Rattus norvegicus: one gene and its partner. The protein of the gene in region 1 interacts with the protein of each later gene in a biochemical or structural test. Links are inferred from orthologs where the notes say so. Each region holds a gene or a part of one and is shown on either strand. Other genes may lie near its edges.

The links.
Region 2: the proteins of Nhlrc1 (region 1) and Epm2a form a complex in vitro, tested with the Homo sapiens proteins (3 studies listed by BioGRID, with this or other methods). The link is inferred for Rattus norvegicus from reciprocal best matches to the Homo sapiens genes NHLRC1 and EPM2A.

What each region holds. Positions count from the first base shown.
Region 1 is NC_086035.1:17,879,401-17,883,675, forward strand, and holds Nhlrc1 (E3 ubiquitin-protein ligase NHLRC1), read left to right. Parts: upstream 1-1,169; 5' UTR 1,170-1,241; coding exon 1,242-2,432; 3' UTR 2,433-4,011; downstream 4,012-4,275. UniProt on the Homo sapiens protein: E3 ubiquitin-protein ligase. Together with the phosphatase EPM2A/laforin, appears to be involved in the clearance of toxic polyglucosan and protein aggregates via multiple pathways.
Region 2 is NC_086019.1:7,651,565-7,655,375, reverse strand, and holds part of Epm2a (laforin), read right to left. Parts: intron 1,364-3,811; coding exon 1,122-1,363; intron 1-1,121. UniProt on the Homo sapiens protein: Plays an important role in preventing glycogen hyperphosphorylation and the formation of insoluble aggregates, via its activity as glycogen phosphatase, and by promoting the ubiquitination of proteins involved in glycogen metabolism via its interaction with the E3 ubiquitin ligase NHLRC1/malin.

The DNA of each region.
Region 1 (4,275 bases):
ATCCCTGAGCCATCTCTTCACCCCCTTACTTTCAATCTTTCCGGGACTGGAAGACACTACAAGGAAGAACCTCAAACTTACCTGTATGCTATAATCCCCTCACAACTCCCTGCACCCATCACACTGGAGCAGTTAAGCCTTTGTCAACGAGGCTCAAGCGTCTGTCATACACAACCCTATGTGATGATCAGTGAGAGATAGTGAAAGGCCCTGTAGTCAAACTGCCTGCCTTCCAGTCAGCCTCCACGAGGCTTAAATAAAACAGCGAATGAAAACCACTTAAAAGAAGGCAGGCATGGAGTGAATTCTATAGTAACTGCTATTAACTAACACCTTTGGTCGTTGTTATTGTTGTTTTGTTTTTATGACAGGGTCTCCCTTTGTACCTCTAACTGGCCTGGAACTCACTATGTAGACCACCATGCAAGGGAACTAACAGCTTTTAAAATATCCCTTCCGCACAAACCCACTTCACAAGTATTCTTTTGTTTGTTTTGGTTTTGGGGTTTGTTTGTTTGTTTGTTTGTTTTTGTTTTTTTGTTTGTTTGTGGTTTTTTTTTTTTTTGAGCTGGGGACCCAACCCAGGGCCTTGCGCTTGCTAGGCAAGCACTCTACCACTGAGCTAAATCCCCAACCCCTGGGGTTTGTTTTTTTAGGCACCGCAGCCTAGGCTGGTCTCCAACTAACCACTAACCGCTATTCTCCTGTTTCTGCCTCCTGAGTTCTGGCATCACAACCACCACACCCAGTTCTTTGAGGGATGCGTAGCTACCTTCTCACAAGTGTGATAAAACACACCAGAGAGGTATGCACAGCTGCCTCACCCTCTTTCTTGCATCTTCTTTCTTATCTTTCTGCATTTCTGTCCTCAGAGTCATACTATACCAAGACTAGGAGCCACATCTTGCTTCTGCCCAGCCCTGGTACCCAGCTCCCAGTGAAGCTGACTGGTAGTCCTGCCGGACACCAGCCCTGGACGACTAACTGCCACTTACACGCGAACACGGAGAGAACAATCGTTCCCCCCCCCCCGCGAGACGTGTCTCAAGCTCTAATATTGGGATCTCCCACCCGTGACGCGATTCCCCGCCCCCGCCAGGTCCGCGCAGGGCGCATGCGGACCATTGCGTCGTGCGTCCGCCAGGGGGCGGGAGTGCGCGCCTCGCGTTAGAGCGCATGCCCCGCCCCGTGACCGTGGCCGTGACCGAGGGCTGCGCCGGGGCTGCGGCGCGGCGGGAGCGATGGGGGAGGAGGCAGCGGGGGTGCGGCCCGAGCTGGTGCGCGAGGCGGAGGTCAGCCTGCTGGAGTGCAAGGTGTGCTTCGAGAGGTTCGGCCACCGGCAGCAGCGGCGCCCGCGCAACCTGCCCTGCGGCCACGTGGTCTGCTTGGCCTGCGTCGCCGCCCTCGCGCACCCGCGGACGCTGGCCCTCGAGTGTCCCTTCTGCCGGCGGGCCTGCCGAGCTTGTGACACCAGCGATTGCCTGCCGGTGCTGCACCTTCTGGAGCTCCTGGGCTCCACCCTCCACGCGTCCCCGGCTGCCCTCAGCGCCGCCTCCTGTGCGCCCGGGGCTCTCACCTGCTACCATGCCTTTGGCGGGTGGGGGACCCTAGTGAACCCCACGGGGCTTGCACTGTGCCCCAAGACCGGACGGGTAGTAGTCGTGCACGACGGTAAGAGACGGGTCAAGATCTTCGATTCCGGAGGAGGAGGTGCACACCAGTTTGGAGAGAAGGGGGACGCAGCGCATGACGTGAAGTACCCACTGGATGTCGCGGTCACCAACGACTGCCATGTGGTTGTCACCGACGCCGGCGACTGCTCCCTCAAAGTGTTTGATTTCTTTGGCCAGATCAAGCTGGTTGTGGGAAAGCAGTTTTCCCTGCCTTGGGGTGTAGAGATAACCCCTCACAACGGGGTCCTGGTGACTGACGCAGAGGCAGGGACTTTGCACCTGCTGGAAGCGGATTTCCCTGAAGGGGTCCTTCGGAGAATTGAGAGGTTGCAAGCTCACCTGTGTAATCCCCGTGGGGTGGCAGTGTCATGGCTCACCGGGGCCATCGCGGTCCTAGAGCATCCTTGTGCCTTGGGGACGTCAAGCGGTAACAACACAAGGGTGAAGGTGTTCAACTCCAGTATGCAGCTGATTGGCCAGGTGGACAGCTTCGGACTGAACCTCCTCTTCCCCTCCAAAATAACCGCCTCAGCTGTGACCTTCGATCACCAAGGAAACGTGATTGTTGCTGATACCTCTGGGCCAGCCATCGTATGCTTGGGGAAACCTGAGGAATTTCCAGCCCTGAAGCCTATGGTTACTCATGGCCTTTCCCGTCCTGTGGCACTGGTCTTCACCAAGGAGAATTCTCTTCTTGTGCTGGATTCTGCATCCCATTCTATAAAAGTCTTTAAAGTGATGGAGGGTAATGGAGGGTGATGGGGATCCCGAAGCGTGCAGTCAAATCTTGGTGTCGTTGGGAGTGTCACTCATCCATCCAGATGGGGATGATGGTAACTGCCTGGCGAAAGTGGTTATTAAGGCAGTTAGTAAGGACTAATAATTAAACTTGTCATTCAGTGAATGCCTATTCCCGTGTTAAGAAGTTTGCAAATCTTAGCCCATTTGCTCCCTAACACACGGTGATGTCATTCCTATCATCAGTTCATTTCAGAGATGAGAAAATAGACGCAGAGCATTCAATATGGTTTCTTTAGAGTTGTACTAACTGGGACAGTTGAATTCAATTCTGGCTCCAAACCACTTGCTCTTCAATATGATGCCAGAGGTCAAAGAAAAAAACCCTGTGAGCTGTGTCTTGGGTGTGTTCTCCCTACAAGTCGATAACTGGTTAAATGCACAAAGACACAAAAGAAAGGGGTCTCCATGGAGTTTTTCTTTAGGAGAAAAGTGAAGGTGTCTGTCACCTTTATCTGTGACCTCCTCCAAAGGCAGAGTAGATGGTTTATTACCAATTCCAAGATTTGAACAAGGAACAAAGTTGAGCTTTTTCCCTATAAGGTAAAGGCTGCCAGGATGATAGTGTGTGCTACTAAGTCTTCCAACACTTGGAAAGTGGAGGCAGGAAGTTCAGTGCAATCTTACCTAGTAAGTTTGAGGCTAGGCTGGGCTACTGAAGTGTGTTATCTCCCTCTCCTTCCCCCTTCCCCTCCTCACATTCCCCCATCTCCCTCCTCCCTCCCTCCTCCCTTTCACCATCCTCCCTCCTTCTTTCCCTCTCCCCTTCCCTTCCTCCTCTCTCTTCCTCTCTCTCTCCCCCTTGCCCTCTCCCTCTCTCTCTCCCTGCCCCACCTCTCCTTCCTCCATGGGCACTGGGAACTATCCCTCAGTGATAGTTAGAGAAAAATCTGCAGACCTGCTGCCTGCTAGTGTCACAGGCAGATGAGACCAGCGTTAATCAGACGTCACCCCAGCACATTGATGGCAGGAGTGATTTTATGTGCTGTGTGGTGAATCTCTGCCACCTGAAGCACTCTGTGATGGGGGTTTTCTCTGTGTAGTTTGAAATGTGACTCAAACACTGTATACTCAATAAACAGTCCTCGTCCTTTTAGAGTGCTGGAAACGTACCTTGAACTGGAGCACAGCCTTGACCAACAGAAGGGCTCCTCGGTGCTGTAATTAAGGGAGGAATAGGATATTTTTGGTGAAGTGCTGATCCTGGCTACATTTTTATTTTTTTAAGCAAGTGAAGAAGTCTTTGAGTTCAGGGCTGTTGGAATCATATCCAATAACTTATACCCCTGAAGCAACTTCAGAATGCTTTCTGGGGCATGCTTTTGAAAGGTGAGAGTTTGCTTTAGATAAGAACTGATGCTGTGGCCTGGAGAGATGGCTCAGCGGTTAAGAGTACTGATCGCTCTTCCAGAGGTACTGAGTTCAAATTCCAACACCCACTTGGTGGCTCACAACCATCTGTAATGGGATCTGAGGCCCTCTTCTGAAGACAATGACAGTGTACTCATACGTAGATAAATAAATCTGTAAAACAAAAGAACTGATGCTGTGTCAACCAAATGATATTCTCTTATACAAAGAGGCTGTTTGTTTTTGGGACAAGGTCTTGTACAGCTTAGGCTGGCCTTGGACATGCTCTGAAGCCAAGCGTGACCCTCAACTTCTGATCCTCCTGCGCTCATCTCCCAAATGCTGAGTTAAAGGCTAGTCCCACAATGCCCAGGGTTCTAGGGTGCTGGAGGTAGGTGGAGCCCAGGGGTTCATACCTGCTTAGCAAGGTTCTACCAATTGTGTTATTGTCTAG
Region 2 (3,811 bases), on another chromosome or scaffold:
ACTTCAAATGCCATGAAAATTGTGTAGCCTGTCTATCTGCCCGTCTAGAGAAGCCATAATCTCCAGGGCACATGGCATCGTTCACTGTCCATTCTCCTCTGCGCTGTAATTGATTCTGAACTTGTCTTGCTGCTGCGTACTTACGTTGTCACAACTATGACTTATTTGCCTGCTTCCCCAGCGGTACCCGACCATGATAACCCATTCATAATGGCTGTTCTCGCATGCTTCCCAGTCCACGACGACTCACTACCGTGCTCCTCCCCACACCCTCGGTGCCTCACCTCCCAGTTATCACCCATTTTCCTGCACCCTCCTCACTGGATTGCCAGACCCAGCTCCAGTCTGTTCATGTAGCAAAAGAAATACTTCCGGTAAACAAACAAAGACAAAAAGAATCTACACATCCCCTGGCTTCTCCTTTCCCCTTCTCCTGTGACATCGTTCCTGTGACATCATTCCTGTGACATCATTCCTGTGACATCATTCCTGTGACATCATTCCTGTGACATCATTCCTGTGACATCGTTCCTATGACATCGCTGCAGTAGCTCAAGTCCTAAGGGTGCTTTCATATTCTCAGTTCTTTAGCCACATTGATCTTTCAGTTCACAACGCGACACATCCTCTCGGGGCATAAGACTCTTCTAAATTGCTTTCTCCCATCCTCTCCCATCTTGCCCTCTCCCCAGTCACTGCTCAGACGGTACCTCAGACATCACTACCTCAAAAGGCTCTCTAGATTATCTACACAAGCTCTCCAAACTATCTGTGTGTCTTTAAAACCAACCCGTTGTGCTTTTAAACCCCTACTTTAGTTCATTCATTAACACTTGCCACCCTTTAGAGACTATATGCTCTGTGTTCCCAGTCATCAGTGTAACGCCACCACACAGTAGATTACACACACACACACACACACACACACACACACACGTATATAAAGCCACATTAAACAGAATCCTGTCAAAGTGTTTAAACATATATTAAACCTAAATCCTTATGTTGATTCCATTTTTATAACTCACAGTTAAGGCATTCAGTTATAGATGACAGAAAGACAAACAGGAGCCCCTGAAGCAAGTTCCTCAGGAACCCAGAGTGCTCCTTCCAGCCCTTACCCTCAGTGCTCATGTCTGGAGTAGGCATCCAGATATAGGCCAAGCCTTCTTCCTTATACAGCTTCATCATGGTGTCTGGAGTCATGGGTTCCGGGTAGCGGTTGCAGCCTGAAGAATTCTGGATGATATCCCATTCAGTCTGGAAATTCATGACAGCCGTAATTCCCAGTTCATGCTTCAGTTTGATGGTCACATGCTCCAGTTGTCGAGGGCAGCTACCCAACCAGATATTTGGTAGAATTCTAGAAAGATCATACAGGGTCAACCATTACTAAGGTTCTAACTTGAGTTTTCAGTATCTGCATGTAACATATACTATTTAAGTACAATTACTCTTTCAATCTGATAAGGAAAGGCTGGATTTTTAAGGATATAAGAAATAATACTAATTTTTTTAAAACTACTTTTATTACTGTTTTAGGAAAACTTATTATAAGATCAACAAGCACACCAGGAACTTGACATTAAAAACTAAGTCCAGCAACATATGAAAATAAACTCACCAAGTTGGATATACTCTATGACTGTTACACAAATGCTATCAATTCATTTTAAACACATTAAACGTAAAACCACCTAAAGCCATCTCAAATCCAAAATTCAAAAAAACATATTTCAATACAGCCATCACCACTCCTTATTACTACATAAAATTCTTCCAACAGTGTGAGACCTGTGAAGGACACTAAACTTAAGAAACAGAAAACTTGGGTTAAATAAATTCAAAACCAAGATTAAGTCCATTATCCTCCAAATATTTTCTATATGTTCATAAAAGGTGTCATAAAGGGCTCTCCCTTTAAGTTCATTGGTTTTCTTTAAAACTATCAGTAAAAGATAGATAGATAGATGGATAGATAGATAGATAGATAGATAGATAGATAGATAGATAGATGGATGGATGGATGGATGGATGGATGGATGGACGGACGGACGGACAGACAGAGAGATAGGAAGGAAAGAGACAAAAGAGAGCGAATATTACCATCGAGTTTCAGATATCCAACTATTTCCCAGGTGACCTTGTTTATTCAAATTCTAAATCTTGAGAAACATTTCCCTAGAGACTCAACTACATGAGTTATGCCATGTATTTAAATCATTCAGCTTAAGATATGTAGTTGAGAGAAACACAAATGGAGTTCTCTTTGTACTTGCAACATACAAAAAGAAGCATAATGGAAAGAAAATAATTCTTGTGTAAAAATAATGCTTCTGGTTTCCGCCTGCACCAATGACTGACACAGACCCACAGCTCTCTGTACCCAGATCCCCGGGAAGAGCGCTGAGCTCTCAGAAGTGCAGACAATCCTGAGAGCTCAGGGGAGACCACCACTTCTGCTCACATTCCTGAACCAAAACGAACCCGCCTGGAGCCTTCTGGACACAGGAACCGAGGAGCAGTCACAGAAAGGATCCTTCCAGTCTCCGCCTGCACCCAGAGCTGAAAGCTAGTCACTAGGAGTGCTGACACACCTGAGAGAGCAGAGGTAAGACCACCACTTCTACTCCTAGGGACCTGCCTGGAGTCCTCAGGACACAGGAACCAGGAGCAAGGGTCCTTCAGGTTTCCACCTGTGACAGCAGCCAACCTGGTCCCACAGCTTTCTGTACCCAGATCCCCTGGAGAGAGAACAGGACACTCAGAAGTGCTAACAATCCTGAGAGCACAGGGGAGACCACCACTTCTGATCACATTCCTGGCCCAAGAGGAACCCTCGTGGAGTGCTCTGGACACAGGAACCAAGGAGCAGACTGGCACTCGATCCTTCCAGTTTCCACCTGCATACTGAGCTAACCCTGTCCCACAGCTCTTGGTCCCCAGATCCCTCTGGGAGAAAGCTGGTCTCCAGGAGTGCTGACACACAGGATTACAGGAGGGTCAAGCCACTGTAACAGACAGCAAGACAAGCTAACACCAGAGACAACCAGATGGTGAGAGGCAAGCAGAGGAAACTAAGCAACAGAAACCAAGACTACTTGGCATCATCAGAGCCCAGTTCTACCACCAAAGCAAATACTGGATATTCAAACACACCACCAAAGCAAGATTTGTATTTAAATCACATCTCATGATGATGATACAGGACTTTAAGAAGAACATAAATTCTTGAGGAAATACAGGACAACACAGGTAAACAAGGAGAATCCCTTAAAAAGGAAACACAAAAATTCCTTAAAGAATTACAAGAAAATGCAAACAAACGTGTGAAGGAATCGAACACAACCATCCAGGATTTAAAAATGGAAATAGAAACAATAAAGAAAGCACAAAGGGAGACAACCCTGGAGATAGAAAACCTAGGGAAGAGACAAGGAATTGTAGATACAAGCATCACCAACATAACACAAGAGATAGAAGAGAGACTCTTAGGGGGCAGAAGATACCATAGAAAACATCAACACAAAAATCAAAGATAATGTAAAACACAAAAAGCTCCTAACCCAAAACATCCAGGAAATCCGGGACACAATGAGAAGAGCAAACCTAAGGATAATAGGTAGAGAAGAGAATGAAGACTTCCAACTTAAAGGGCCAGTAATGTCTTCAACAAAATTATAGAAGAAAACTTCCCTAATCTAAGGAAGAGGTGCCCATAAACATACAAGAAGCCTACAGAACTCCAAATAGATTGGACCAGAAAAGAAATTCCTCCCATTACATAATAGTCAAAACACCAAATGCACAA